2 linked regions of the Arabidopsis thaliana genome follow. Each later gene encodes a partner of the first gene's protein in a complex. Each region holds a gene or a part of one and is shown in the gene's direction. Other genes may lie near its edges.

Region 1 (7,627 bases):
TGAATCTGTTCTGATATGCTGCTATGTGTAAGGCTGTGTTACCGTCTTGATCACGTTTGTTCAAAAACTGCATCTCTAACGATTCAGCGTCTGTTTGACGAAGTCTTTGTACCCATCCCAAGAGTACTTCAAGCTCTTCGTATCTATCGTTTGAAACCGCGATGTGTAGAGCGGTTTCACCGTTCACGTTTGCATCTTTAATGCAACCAGGACAAGCTAAGAGGAACTCTGTCATAAGATCAGTTTCTCCTCTTCTTACTACTTGATGAAACGGCGTCATACCTTGTATTCGAAATCAAACTATTTCAACCATTTATAGTAATAACAAAAGATCAAACAATTTCAAGAAAACAATACACAACTTGGTTGGTCTAATAAACTAGCTATATGATGTCATAGTAGTAGAAAATGAAAAATATATTACCTTCTCTTCCTCGAAGGCGAACAAGGTCAGAATCAACCTTGAGTAAACTTAGAACCAACCGTGTTTGACCTTCCTCTATAGCAAGATGCAATGGACTTAACCCGTATGTGTTAAGTTTTCTCGCGAAAGACGGCTTAAGATTCATCAGCTCCATGGCAAAAGAAAGGTTACCAGAAGCAGAAGCTATATGGAGAGGAGTGTTGATGAAAGGTATTGCATCAATGATTTCAAGAATGTATGGATTCTCATGGATATGAGCATACAATTCATCGATGCTTCCGATTTGAGTAGCTACGATCAATCTTGGATCCATTATATCAAGAACAAGAAGAAACAAGTCTTTGTTTTTCTTCAAGAAATAAAAACTTTACATTTACTTATAGAATATAATGTCATCGTTTGAACAAGTATTTGATGTTGACTTGACCAATCATTTGTTTAAGCCAATAGAAGACAAACACTAGATGAACTCAGAGAAAGAGACTACAAAAAAAAAGTCTTCTCTAGGGATACTACAAATTTAAGTAGAACTTGATACATTAATTTAAGAGAATATAAATCCTACCAACCCAACACATTGTGAAAATCAGAATTCACAACATGAGAGTAATCATATCACTAAAACGTCGTCGTTTGATCATATCAAAATAATCAGCAAAGATATAAATGATAAGAAAGTCGAGAATTCGACATGTTCCAATACGACACAAGCAAAGTCATTGGCATGCTGGAGCCATTGGAGTAGTCGCCGGTATAATGACAACAAGAGAAAATGATGAAAGCTCCCATAATTTCTGATGCTTTGCCAAAGAGAACAAGGTAAATAAAGATTCCAAAAACCATGTACGTAGCTAGCTTTGAGAGCTTATTGTTTCTCTACTAACGTGTAACATTCTTTGAACATTGTAGAGCATTGGAGATCTAAGTTTGAGCAAGATATTGGCTGGAAAGACAAGGAAATTAGCTGCTCGAATGTTTTCGACATTGGTAATTGTTCCTCAATAGGGATTGTTCCTTTATTTTTCTATCTCTGCATTGCCTCTTAGCTGAAATGTGTTGTTTTTTGAATTACAGGTATTGAAACAGGATCAACCATATGGCGATATCGCTCTGAAACAGTGTTAGGCATTAAGCGTACATTGATCTAGCTTCAAACAATTCTAAACCGCATATAAGATAAATCATTATATACTAATTTTTTTTTTGGTAAGAGTATATACTTAGATATATAGTATAAAACAAACATAAAATGTAATGATTCATCATTTATTTAATAACATAGCATTTTTTCTTTTTTTGAGAAATCACTTCCCAATTAAGTGATTTTGCAAATAAAAAAAGTGATAATCATTTACTTCATTAACTTTATAATATGGTTATGTACCTCATCATTATATACTGTAAACTACATTTACAAAGATAATTTTGTAGTTATAGCCAAAGGTCAAAAGTTGAAAACTCTCTCTCTCAAATCTTAAAACTAAAGCACAAATTTGAGATCACATATCCATGCATGTATAATGTATTGTCACACTAAAAATCGGTTTAATTTCTCTTGAGTTTTAAACCAATCGAGTTGTAAACAAGTTTCGGTCTAATTTCGAGATAAACTTGGTTTGGTCTTCTGGTTCAATTAGCTCGGTTGCTGTTTATTTTTTATCATTCATATATAACAAAATCGACAACGATATAGTAAATGGGCCACCGGCAAAACAAAAATATAGTACATGGGCCTTTATTAGTCACTATGTTAAGCCCAATACAAATCGGTGTTTAACAGTAAGCGAAGCCCACCATCATCAGAATAAAAGTATGTTCCACTCTCAGGAAATGCCTTGGTAGAAAAACCATTCTTTGGTAACTTTCGCTTACTCTCTCCCCATTCTCTCTCGAAGAGAGCCTCGCCGGAGTTTGTTTTTCTTCTTGTTTCGCGGCCAAAACCGCCTTTGTGTAAAGCTACCTTGTTATTTTCCTCCGTTAACCATCTGGGTAAACTCTTCGCTTGATTTTTCTGTTCTTCCCCCTTTTTCGATTTCTCACTGTTTTTAATCTACGATTCAACTTGTTTAAATCTCGTTTTCGTGTTCTTCGATTTGATTCTTCGTTTAAAATCATGTTCTTAACTCGATCCATTTTGATTTCGCTGCGTTAGACAAGTAATTGATTTTTGTTTTTTCTTGTTCTTCCATTTCTAGGGTTTCGCCGTGCGAAGCTTCCGTTCGCGTCTTTGCTTTAATTTTGAGATTTTATTGATTCTATTTCGAAGTGGTTTTTTTTTTCCTTACCCTAATTTTTCTTTCTGGGTCTGAAATTTGGTGTAATTTACTGCAAATTTTGACCTATTTTGAAGGCTATGAAACCCTAGATTTCAATTTGGATTCGTTAAGTTTATATCTCTCGACATTGTTTCACGTTTTTGATATATATAGAGTCTAATGTTTTGCGATATTAGTTCTCATTTTCACGTTTTTGTTGCCAATACCTATATGTATATGATTATGTCCTGCGCATTTGGAGATTGACGTTGTTTAAAAACTGTTGAACTTTATTTGGCATTCACGAGATAAGGTTTTGTTGGTCTTTTCAATTTTTGATAAAAAGATTAGTCTTTTGTTTTTTTCCTGATTAGTGAAAGCTTTAGGCTTGTGAATCTCTCTCTGTCTCGTTTATGTAAAACTTTCTTGTTTCTGAGTATTATTTTACTTTTTCTTCGCAGTATAGGTTGCTGCTGGACTCTTTAGATGGCAGACTCTCGGAATGGTAATGCCCGAGCCCCTCCTAGTGGAGTGCCTCCAAAAGCTGGGAATACTTATTCCATAGATGTTAAAAACTTTATCTCACGTGCAAGAGCATTGTATGAACACTGGAAGAAGCACAGTGCAGACTTATGGGGATCTGCCGACGCTCTTGCCATTGCTACCCCTCCTGCTTCTGATGATCTGCGTTACCTGAAATCTTCAGCGTTGAATATTTGGCTTCTTGGGTATGAGTTTCCAGATACAATTATGGTTTTTACCAAGAAGCAGATCCATTTCCTGTGTAGTAGGAACAAGGCTTCTCTACTTGAAGTTGTGAAAAAACCTGCACATGATGAGTTGAAGCTTGATGTTATCATGCATGTTAAGCCTAAGGGTGATGATGGAACAGGGCTGATGGATGCCATATTTCGTGCCATCCGTGATCTATCCCGGGGTGATGGAAATGATTCACAAGTTGTTGGACACATTGCTCGTGAAGCCCCTGAAGGTAAGCTTCTGGAGACATGGACTGAGAGGCTAAAGAATGCAAACTTCCAGTTCGTAGATATAACTGGGGGGCTGTCTGATCTATTTGCTGTTAAAGACGATACTGAGGTCATGAGTGTGAAGAAAGCTGCGTATCTAGCCTACAGTGTGATGAAAAATGTTGTTGTTCCAAATCTTGAGAGTGCCATTGATGAGGAGAAAGACGTCACCCACTCTGCCCTGATGGATCTCACTGAGAAAGCGATACTTGAGCCAACTAAGGCCAGTGTGAAACTGAAGCCAGAGAATGTTGACATATGCTACCCTCCGATATTTCAAAGCGGAGGCAAGTTTGATCTCAAACCAAGTGCTGCAAGCAATGATGAACTGCTCACTTATGATCCAGCGAGTATCATAATATGTGCTGTTGGTGCTAGGTATAATAGTTATTGCTCAAATGTTGCCAGGACCTACCTAATAGATGCAACTTCTCTCCAGAGCAAGGCATATGAGGTTCTTCTCAAGGCACATGAGGCTGCTATTGATGCTTTGAGGTCAGGAAGAAAGATAAACACTGTCTATCAAGCTGCCCTTTCTGTTGTTGAAAAGAATGCCCCTGAGTTCGTTGACAAGCTAACTAAATCTGCTGGGACTGGTATCGGTCTGGAATTCCGAGAGTCAGGATTAAATATAAATGCAAAGAATGATAAAGTATTGAGACCGAAGATGGCATTTAATGTGTCTCTTGGTTTCCAGAACTTGGAATGTGAGTCAGAAAGCCGCAGCAAGAACAAGAAATTCTCACTTTTGCTAGCTGACACAGTTCTCGTCACAGATCAGAAACCGGAGCTTTTAACCAAGTGCTCTAAATCTGTTAAGGATGTGGCTTACTCCTTTAAAGAGGATGAAGAAGAAGAGAAACCGCGCAAGAAAGCTAGGACCAGTGGTTCTGAGAACTACATTACCAAGACAGCTCTTAGATCAGATGATCATGTGGTGTCTAAAGAAGAGCTACGGAAGCAGCACCAGGCAGAGCTGGCACGCCAGAAAAATGAAGAAACTGCCAGAAGGCTTGCTGGTGACAGTTCTGGGGCGGGAGACAGCCGGTCTACTGCAAAGACTTCAGCTGATGTGGTTGCCTACAAGAATGTTAACGACATGCCCCATAAGGAATTGATGATCCAGGTTGATACGAGAAACGAGGCTGTATTGTTACCCATCTATGGGAGCTTGGTTCCATTCCATGTGGCTACAATAAGAACAGTGTCAGGCAATCAAGATACCAACCGAAACTGCTACATCCGTATCATTTTCAATGTCCCGGGTACACCCTTCAACCCTCATGACTCAAACTCTTTGAAAAACCAGGGTGCTATCTACCTCAAGGAGGTTTCATTCCGGACCAAGGATTCAAGGCATAGCAGCGAAGTAACTCAACAGATTAAGACCCTTAGACGGCAAGTCATGGCCAGGGAGTCAGAGAGAGCTGAAAGGGCGACATTGGTGACCCAAGAGAAACTTCAGCTTGCAGGGAACAAGTTCAAACCCCTCAGGTTGTCCGAGCTGTGGATCCGTCCGCCTTTTAGTGGGCGCAAGAAGATTCCTGGGACACTCGAAGCTCATGCAAATGGTTTCAGGTATTCAACTACCAGGCCTGACGAGCGCGTGGATGTCCTGTTTGCAAACATAAAGCATGCGTTTTTCCAGCCTGCTGAGAAGGAGATGATCACCCTCCTTCATTTTCATTTGCACAACCACATCATGGTAGGAACTAAGAAGACAAAGGACGTTCAATTCTATGTGGAGGTAATGGATGTTGTGCAGTCTTTAGGTGGTGGGAGGAGATCAGCCTATGATCCAGATGAGATTGACGAAGAACAGAGGGAGCGCGATAGGAAGAACAAGATCAACATGGATTTCAATCATTTTGCAAACCGGGTGAATGATATGTGGCAACTACCACAGTTTGCAAGTCTGGACCTTGAGTTTGATCAACCTCTGAGAGAGCTTGGTTTCCATGGTGTTCCGCACAAGACATCTGCATTCATAATACCGACCTCCAGCTGCTTAGTTGAGCTGATAGAATACCCGTTCCTCGTGGTGAGTCTGAGTGAGATTGAGATTGTGAATCTTGAGAGAGTTGGGTTTGGGCAGAAGAACTTTGACATGGCCATCATCTTCAAGGACTTCAAAAAAGATGTTCTCAGGGTTGACTCAGTTCCCACAAGCTCCCTAGAGGGGATAAAGGAGTGGCTAGACACCACAGATATAAAGTACTACGAGAGCAAACTGAATCTGAACTGGAGACAGATCCTAAAGACGATCACAGATGATCCGCAGAGCTTTATAGATGATGGAGGATGGGAGTTTCTGAACCTGGACGGAAGCGATTCAGAATCTGGCGGGTCTGAGGAGTCAGACAAAGGATATGAACCATCAGATGTAGAGGTTGAGTCTGAGTCAGAGGACGAGGCTTCAGAGAGTGAGTCACTGGTGGAGTCAGACGATGATGAAGAAGAGGACTCAGAGCAAGAGTCAGAGGAAGAGAAAGGTAAGACTTGGGATGAACTGGAGAGAGAAGCTACTAATGCAGACAGAGAGCATGGAGTTGAGTCTGATAGCGAGGAAGAGAGGAAGAGAAGAAAGATGAAAGCGTTTGGGAAATCGCGACCTGGAACTAGCGGTGGAGGTGGTAGTAGCAGCATGAAGAACATGCCACCATCTAAACGCAAGCACAGGTGAAGAAACTCAAAAAGTTCGAATTCTGCTTATCATTGTTCTCATTAGAGATGAAACGAAAGTCAGACATTTACTTTCGCAGGTTTAAAATTAGTTTTTTTCCCTTGGTTTGTTGGCAAACAAAAACTAGCGTTTTGTTATCGGTTTTTTTATCAGTCCTTTGTATCATATGAAAACTACTTAAGATAATTTTATCAATTATATGCCCTAGGAAAATAATGTCCCATTGTGGTGTTAGGTTGGTTCTCATTAGTCTTAAAGAAAAATCACACAACTTGTCGTTTTGACTTGGATAAAAAAAAAATTGGCAGAAAATACCATATTAATCTTAAAATCTTTCAAATTTTTGTAATTATAACAATCACTCTTTTTACATCAACTGGTAGTAATTTAGCTACATACTTGATTTAGCAAGAAGAACTCTTCCAGAGCTCTTGTAGCTCTCTAGCAAACTCCTCTGATCTTCGGACCACTAAAGTAAATTAAGTAATGTGATCTTTGTTCTGAACAACCTTAACTCGGTCGTGCCCCAGGAATCCGACGTTGAACGTGGTAGCTGCACTAAACAGGAACGACCTCATCGTCATCTTTTCTCTCATGGAAGATGACCACAATAGTTACACTTGAGTTTATATCTTGTATATGTCCATATATGAGATACCCAATACATTGCTCCCTTGGCTTAGCCGTCCATGCACACTGTCAAAATTTAGCAAATCTTAGATAGAAATGTCACTAAAAGTGTACAATTCAATTGTTTATTAATCGGTCATGCTCATGTCTCATGCAACACGTCTTCTTTCTTTGGTCTCTTACTAATCAAACTTATTTAATTGAATAGAATGTGATGAAATATTGCCAATACCACATCATGGTGTGTATCATGGTTATGATCGGGCTGGACAGGATTTCGAACTTTGGTCCCTAAATGACGTCTTTAACAGTTTTATCAACAAAAAAATTAGGTCATGATTTTTGCTTCTATTAGAATATTATTTCAAAAAATATAACTCTTTTACAGTCTTTCTTTTGTTTTCCGTATAAAGCGAAATGAATGATCGGATAACAAAACTTATCTTGAGAGTTAATTATCTTTTCTTTCTCTCTAGCTCTCAATAGTCAATACCCTCATACTAACTAGTAATAACGATATATAAAATCGAGAAATTATATTTTAGATATTCATCTCAATTTTTTGAACCACCTCAACGTTAACCAATTCATTTCAAGTTTGTTCCGG
Region 2 (6,090 bases), on another chromosome or scaffold:
TTGGCTTCGTTGGTGTATAATGCTTATCAGGTTTTGATTGTTCCTTCTTTGAGAATCCCTGTGTACTTTGAGGATACGTTGGTGGTTCAGTTTATTCATGTGTATGGGTCAGAGGTTAAGGATTCGAGTGGGTTAGATTTGGAGTTTGTGAAGAGAACGTTTATGGATGAAGCTGAGAGTGGTGGGTTGTTGTTAGGTGAACAGAAGTTGAGTTTTAAGAGTTATAGTGTGAATTATAGAGAATGTTCGATTTGTTCGTTTGCGGTATCTCGTGGGATGAATTCGTATACTTCTAGGTTTTTGTTTGATAACTATACTTTGATTGTGAGTGAGTATTTGGATTCTAAGCATATGCATCGGGCGTTGACTGATTCGGCTGAGGAGTTGAGGAGAGTTGCGGGGATTGTTGAAGAAGAAGGAAATGAGTTTGCTAGGGTTTTACCTGTTTATGTGTTTGATTTGGATATCAATACGCCTTTGTTGCTTGATCGGTATCATCAGTCTGTTGCTTTTAGAGATATGGTGATTGCTGTTAGAACTAGAGGAACTCAAACGGTTAGTGATTATACTTGCAACGGGCGTCATGTGTTTGTTCATACGAGAGACTTAGAACGACCTCTCGTTGGTTCCATTCTGCAGAGTATGTGGGGTGTATCTTCTACTCATTTGACATGGAGCCCGAGACATAACACAACTCTAGTTGATTATACATGGAGCATTGGGCAAACACCGTTTGGACCATTCTCTGATATCTCGTCTCTATCGTTTGTTCAGAAAGATGCTGCTAAGAGAAACGTGATTTTGACATCTTTGAACACAACTATCACAAGTGCAATCGATGTTATCGATTCCGCGGTTGCATATGGAGGAGATGTGATCCTACGGAAACAGAATCGCCACTCTGAGTTCATGCAAAGGTGGAATCTTATGCAGTACAAGCTGGATAAAACGGTTTCTGCTCTATCACACAATGAGTTCGAGATGGCTTTGTTCTACTTAAGATCAGCTTCACACGACTTGTACTCAGTGCATTCAGTAGTGTACCTCGCGTCACAACGGGTAGAAGCGAGTCTCAACTGTTTCAAAGATCCACCGTTCCCATGGGGAACTGTTTCAGTGTCGGGATTCGGGTTAATGGCTGTTGGTTACGTGTTCTCGAAAAGAGATAGACTCTTTAGGAACAAACGAAAACAGTTCTGAAGAATTCTAGCAATGCAGGGTAATTTATAGTCATTACATTGGATAAAAAGACTTTGATAGTTTGGTTTTTGAGGTTAATACAACATGTACTACTATTATGAGCTTGTTTCCATTTGGTAATGTTGAACAATAGAGACAATGCTCGGATCCTCTGTTTGGTTGTCTATTTATTTTGAATAGCTCCATCACATTCCTATTGTCTCCTTCAATAATCACTTCTCCATACCCTTAGACCGGTTTTCCCCTCCTAACCAAAGCCAAACAAAACCGAAGTAACCGGTTTGGTAAACCGAACCCGCATGCCTACATAATTGATATAAAATTCTGTTTTATAAGAGGTTTCTTTTCCAAATGTGAAAAAATCCAAAACTCAAAACAACCTTCTGTTTTTACCGTTTTTTGATAAAGGTCTTTTTCCCAAATCTGCAAAACCAAAAACTCAAAAATTCAATTAAACCGGAAAATCTAATTTTCGAAAATTGGTTTTCTTCCCAAAATTAAACCGCCTGAGTGTCTATGTATAAAAGTTGATATCATAGTTTGGAAAAAAAAAAATCACTCTCTCTCTTTCGCTCTCGCTTTCTCGTCTCTCTCGTGTCTCTCAACAGAAAACCATGGCGGACGGCCACTCCTTCAATAATATCTCTCTCAGCGGTCGCGGTGGAAAGGTACCATCTTCTCTCTCTGTCTCCTTCTATCTCTCAAGATCTTTCAATTCCTTCAAAGTTTTCACCTTTTCCTCTTCCTTCGAAAACCCTAATCTCCTTTCTCTGTATCCCCTTTTGCTTCCGCCGCTCGATTCTTAAAGAACTCAATGAGTCAAATTTAGGGTTAAAAAAAAGATTGTCGCTTTCATTTTTCAGTTGTGTTGTTTTCTTGTTTACAATTGTTAAAGCTGCGGTAGTTTTTAGGGTTTTCTTAAGGCTAATTAGGGTTTCAATTTTGGTTTTTTAGAACCCGGGTTTACTTAAAATCAATTCTGGAGGAATTCAATGGAAGAAACAAGGTGGTGGAAAAGCTGTGGAAGTTGATAGATCTGATATTGTAAGTGTTAGTTGGACGAAAGTGACAAAGAGTAATCAATTGGGAGTCAAAACCAAAGATGGATTGTACTACAAGTTCGTTGGATTTCGAGATCAGGTTTGTGTGTGTATATCTTTTTTATTTGATTTGATATTGTAATGTTTGTGCTTGTTCTGATTCCTTTGTTTTGTAGGATGTTCCAAGTCTGTCTAGCTTTTTCCAAAGTTCTTATGGAAAAACACCGGATGAGAAGCAATTATCAGTTAGTGGTCGTAATTGGGGAGAGGTGGATTTACACGGTGAGAGTTCTTATAGCTTTTAGGCTTTACTTGTGGTTGTCTAGTTTCATTTGTGGATCTAAAGGGAGAATTTTTTGTTTCTTTGTGTAGGGAATACACTAACCTTTTTGGTTGGATCAAAACAAGCTTTTGAAGTATCTTTAGCTGATGTTTCACAGACTCAGCTTCAAGGGAAAAATGATGTTACTTTGGAGTTTCATGTTGATGATACTGCTGGTGCTAATGAGGTACTGGTTTCTTTTGATATGTAATCTCTAGGCTGTTATGTATGTACATTTACTGATTTATATTCTACGTGTTTACAGAAAGACTCGCTGATGGAGATTAGTTTTCATATTCCTAATTCCAACACTCAGTTTGTTGGTGATGAAAACCGTCCACCTTCTCAAGTGAGTTCCCAAACTATTTTCATTATATGTATGTGCCTCAAGTATATATTTTTTTCTGTTGATGCTAAAAGAATGTCTCAGGTTTTCAATGACACAATCGTTGCAATGGCTGATGTTAGTCCTGGAGTTGAGGATGCGGTCGTCACATTTGAGAGTATTGCAATCCTCACACCCAGGTAAAGAGTTGATTACTTAAACATTTGTTGCACTATTGTATGGCTTCATCTTGTCATGACTAAATGATTTGGTTGTTTCTATCACAGGGGTCGGTACAATGTGGAACTTCACCTTTCTTTCTTACGATTGCAAGGACAAGCTAATGACTTTAAAATCCAGTACAGTAGCGTTGTCCGTTTGTTCTTGCTTCCAAAGGTAATTCTTTTTTAAGCATATCTCAGGGCAGTTACCTATGTTAGCAGTCATCAGATTAAAGGGATTATCGTATTATGATCACTGAATCGTGTTCACATTAATTGAGTTCGTATTTTTTTTTATATGCCTGAGCAGTCAAACCAACCACACACGTTTGTTGTTATCTCTCTAGACCCACCAATCCGGAAAGGTCAGACAATGTACCCCCACATTGTTATGCAGGTAAACATTACTTACATTTTTCCTTCCATTTCAATTTTCTATGTATAATTTTCGTTTTTTTACTCTGATTTACATAACTGTTTTTGCATCTTCTCCAGTTTGAAACAGACACCGTTGTCGAAAGTGAACTGTCAATTAGTGATGAACTTATGAATACAAAGTTCAAGGACAAGCTGGAGCGATCATATAAGGTTTCTGTCTGGTCTGCACTTACATTATTGTTCCTGAATAAAAAAATTTATACATACGCTGAATTGTATGAATTTTCAGGGTCTCATTCATGAAGTATTCACCACCGTGTTGCGTTGGCTGTCTGGTGCAAAGATCACTAAACCTGGGAAGTTCCGCAGTTCCCAAGATGGGTTTGCAGTGAAATCGTCTCTCAAGGCAGAAGATGGGGTTCTTTATCCACTCGAGAAGGGATTTTTCTTCTTACCTAAACCTCCAACGCTTATACTTCACGATGAGGTAAATTATGGTTATTAAGGATTGGAGATTTTTTATAGGCTTTGAGATAGAGTTGGGTTTTCTAACCTGTTTTTTTTTCGTTTTTAGATTGACTATGTCGAGTTTGAAAGGCATGCTGCTGGTGGTGCTAACATGCATTACTTTGATCTTCTCATAAGACTGAAAACTGACCATGAACATCTGTTCCGTAACATTCAAAGAAATGAGTATCACAATCTCTATACCTTCATAAGGTTAGCGCGGATTATTTCATTGTCTCCGTCTATATTTACTGAGTGCATTTAAGATTTGTGGTGAATATTCCTTATGTTTTCTTGCTGCAGCTCTAAGGGTTTGAAGATTATGAACCTTGGAGGTGCGGGTACCGCAGACGGTGTTGCTGCTGTTCTTGGGGATAATGATGATGATGATGCTGTTGACCCTCATCTTACGCGTATCAGAAACCAAGCTGCTGATGAGAGTGATGAGGAGGCAAGTACTTTATGTCTGACCGAATTACTTCATATTCTAATGATCATGTGTTTGATAATCGAGACTTTTAATTTATGAAGGACGAAGACTTTGTTATGGGTGAGGATGATGATGGTGGTTCACCAACTGATGATTCTGGCGGGGACGACTCTGATGCTAGTGAAGGCGGTGTAGGAGAGATAAAAGAGGTAAACTTTTGTCGCATTCATTCGAACTCTTTCAGCAGCAGTATTTGTTTCTCATATCTTCCTGTCATTGACTTGTTATAGAAATCTATCAAGAAGGAACCTAAGAAAGAGGCTTCGTCATCGAAAGGATTGCCTCCTAAGAGGAAAACTGTAGCCGCAGACGAAGGCAGTAGTAAGAGGAAGAAGCCGAAGAAGAAGAAGGATCCCAACGCACCAAAAAGAGCAATGTCTGGTTTCATGTTCTTTTCCCAAATGGAAAGAGATGTGAGTTCTTCTCTCCTTTCTTTTACTTTTACCTCTATGATGTAGGCTAAGTTGCGAAATGGAGTATCCTCGGTCTATTACATACATGAGAGCAAACAATTAACAGACAAACTTAGCACATTCCTGATTATGTCATTTTCCATTTGTGAACTGAACAGAACATAAAGAAGGAACACCCAGGAATAGCATTTGGAGAGGTGGGAAAGGTGCTTGGAGATAAGTGGCGTCAAATGTCTGGTAAAAAATTTGAAGATCCTTTTCAAAAGTAAATACATTACTTGGTTTTACTTTATCATGTGAATGTGTTTTAATTCCCCAACCGTGTGTATGTATAGCTGATGATAAAGAGCCATATGAAGCCAAGGCTCAAGTCGACAAGCAGCGATACAAGGATGAGATCAGTGATTACAAGAACCCTCAGCCGATGAATGTGGACTCAGGAAACGATTCCGATAGTAACTAAACTTTGATTCTCCAACATTCTCTACTAGTATCTCATTTACCTACAATACTAAGTTATGGCATGTAGTAAACGTTGGACCTTTAGTTGTTTGGAGTTAACCAGATTTTTCTCTTTGACCTTAAAGATCTTGTGTTACTTCCTAGAAAAGAAGAGCCTGTCTTTACCTCAAAATATAGAGTACTCTGGTAAGGCCATAGCTAAGAAGCAACAAAACAGATCGTGTTTCTATCGAAATTGTTATACAAGAGGTTCTGTATGATGAAAGTTATGGACAAGAAGCATCTAAAACCTTATGGACAATGGGACGAGCTTTACACATAGCTTGCAACGATGTAGCTTTTCGCATTGTGGTTCCTTTTTCACTTTCTCTCATGTCTAGATACTTTTCTTCAACCCTCTCCCACTCAAAACATTGGACCAATGATCCAAGAGCCAAAGTCACTAGCCGTTGAGCTAGCCCTGAACCAGGGCAAGATCGTCGTCCAATCCCAAATGGCATCAACTTTTTATCCTCTCCTTTTTTCTCAAACCTCTCCGGCTTAAATTTTTCTGGCTCTTCCCATAACTTTGGATCTCTATGGATGGCCCATGCATTCACCAAGATGATTGTGCCGCGTGGAACGTCATAGCCATCAACTATACAATCTTCTGATGCTAAGTGGGGTAAAAGCATTGGAGCCACCGGATAAAGCCGTAAAGTCTCTGACACAATGTGCTGAAGGTAAGGAAGT

Evidence for each region. Proteins that work in one complex are often made in the same cells at the same time.
Region 2: SPT16 (region 1) and HMG share a complex: the UniProt entries of both Arabidopsis thaliana proteins name them as parts of the FACT complex.

Annotation. Positions count from the first base shown.
Region 1 is NC_003075.7:6,600,989-6,608,615, reverse strand, and holds SPT16 (global transcription factor C), read left to right. Parts: upstream 1-2,258; 5' UTR 2,259-2,413; intron 2,414-2,619; exon of another isoform or gene 2,620-3,140; 5' UTR 3,141-3,165; coding exon 3,166-6,390; 3' UTR 6,391-6,713; downstream 6,714-7,627. Other genes in the region: AT4G10720 (Ankyrin repeat family protein), read right to left, coding at 1-282, 425-737. UniProt on the Arabidopsis thaliana protein: Component of the FACT complex, a general chromatin factor that acts to reorganize nucleosomes. The FACT complex is involved in multiple processes that require DNA as a template such as mRNA elongation, DNA replication and DNA repair.
Region 2 is NC_003074.8:10,783,140-10,789,229, forward strand, and holds HMG (high mobility group), read left to right. Parts: upstream 1-1,748; 5' UTR 1,749-1,814; coding exon 1,815-1,868; intron 1,869-2,154; coding exon 2,155-2,340; intron 2,341-2,416; coding exon 2,417-2,522; intron 2,523-2,612; coding exon 2,613-2,749; intron 2,750-2,827; coding exon 2,828-2,911; intron 2,912-2,992; coding exon 2,993-3,087; intron 3,088-3,174; coding exon 3,175-3,283; intron 3,284-3,418; coding exon 3,419-3,505; intron 3,506-3,603; coding exon 3,604-3,696; intron 3,697-3,775; coding exon 3,776-3,973; intron 3,974-4,060; coding exon 4,061-4,206; intron 4,207-4,296; coding exon 4,297-4,444; intron 4,445-4,524; coding exon 4,525-4,632; intron 4,633-4,713; coding exon 4,714-4,896; intron 4,897-5,054; coding exon 5,055-5,133; intron 5,134-5,231; coding exon 5,232-5,359; 3' UTR 5,360-5,590; downstream 5,591-6,090. Other genes in the region: AT3G28720 (uncharacterized protein), read left to right, coding at 1-1,200; CYP81D11 (Cytochrome P450 superfamily protein), read right to left, coding at 5,625-6,090. UniProt on the Arabidopsis thaliana protein: Component of the FACT complex, a general chromatin factor that acts to reorganize nucleosomes. The FACT complex is involved in multiple processes that require DNA as a template such as mRNA elongation, DNA replication and DNA repair.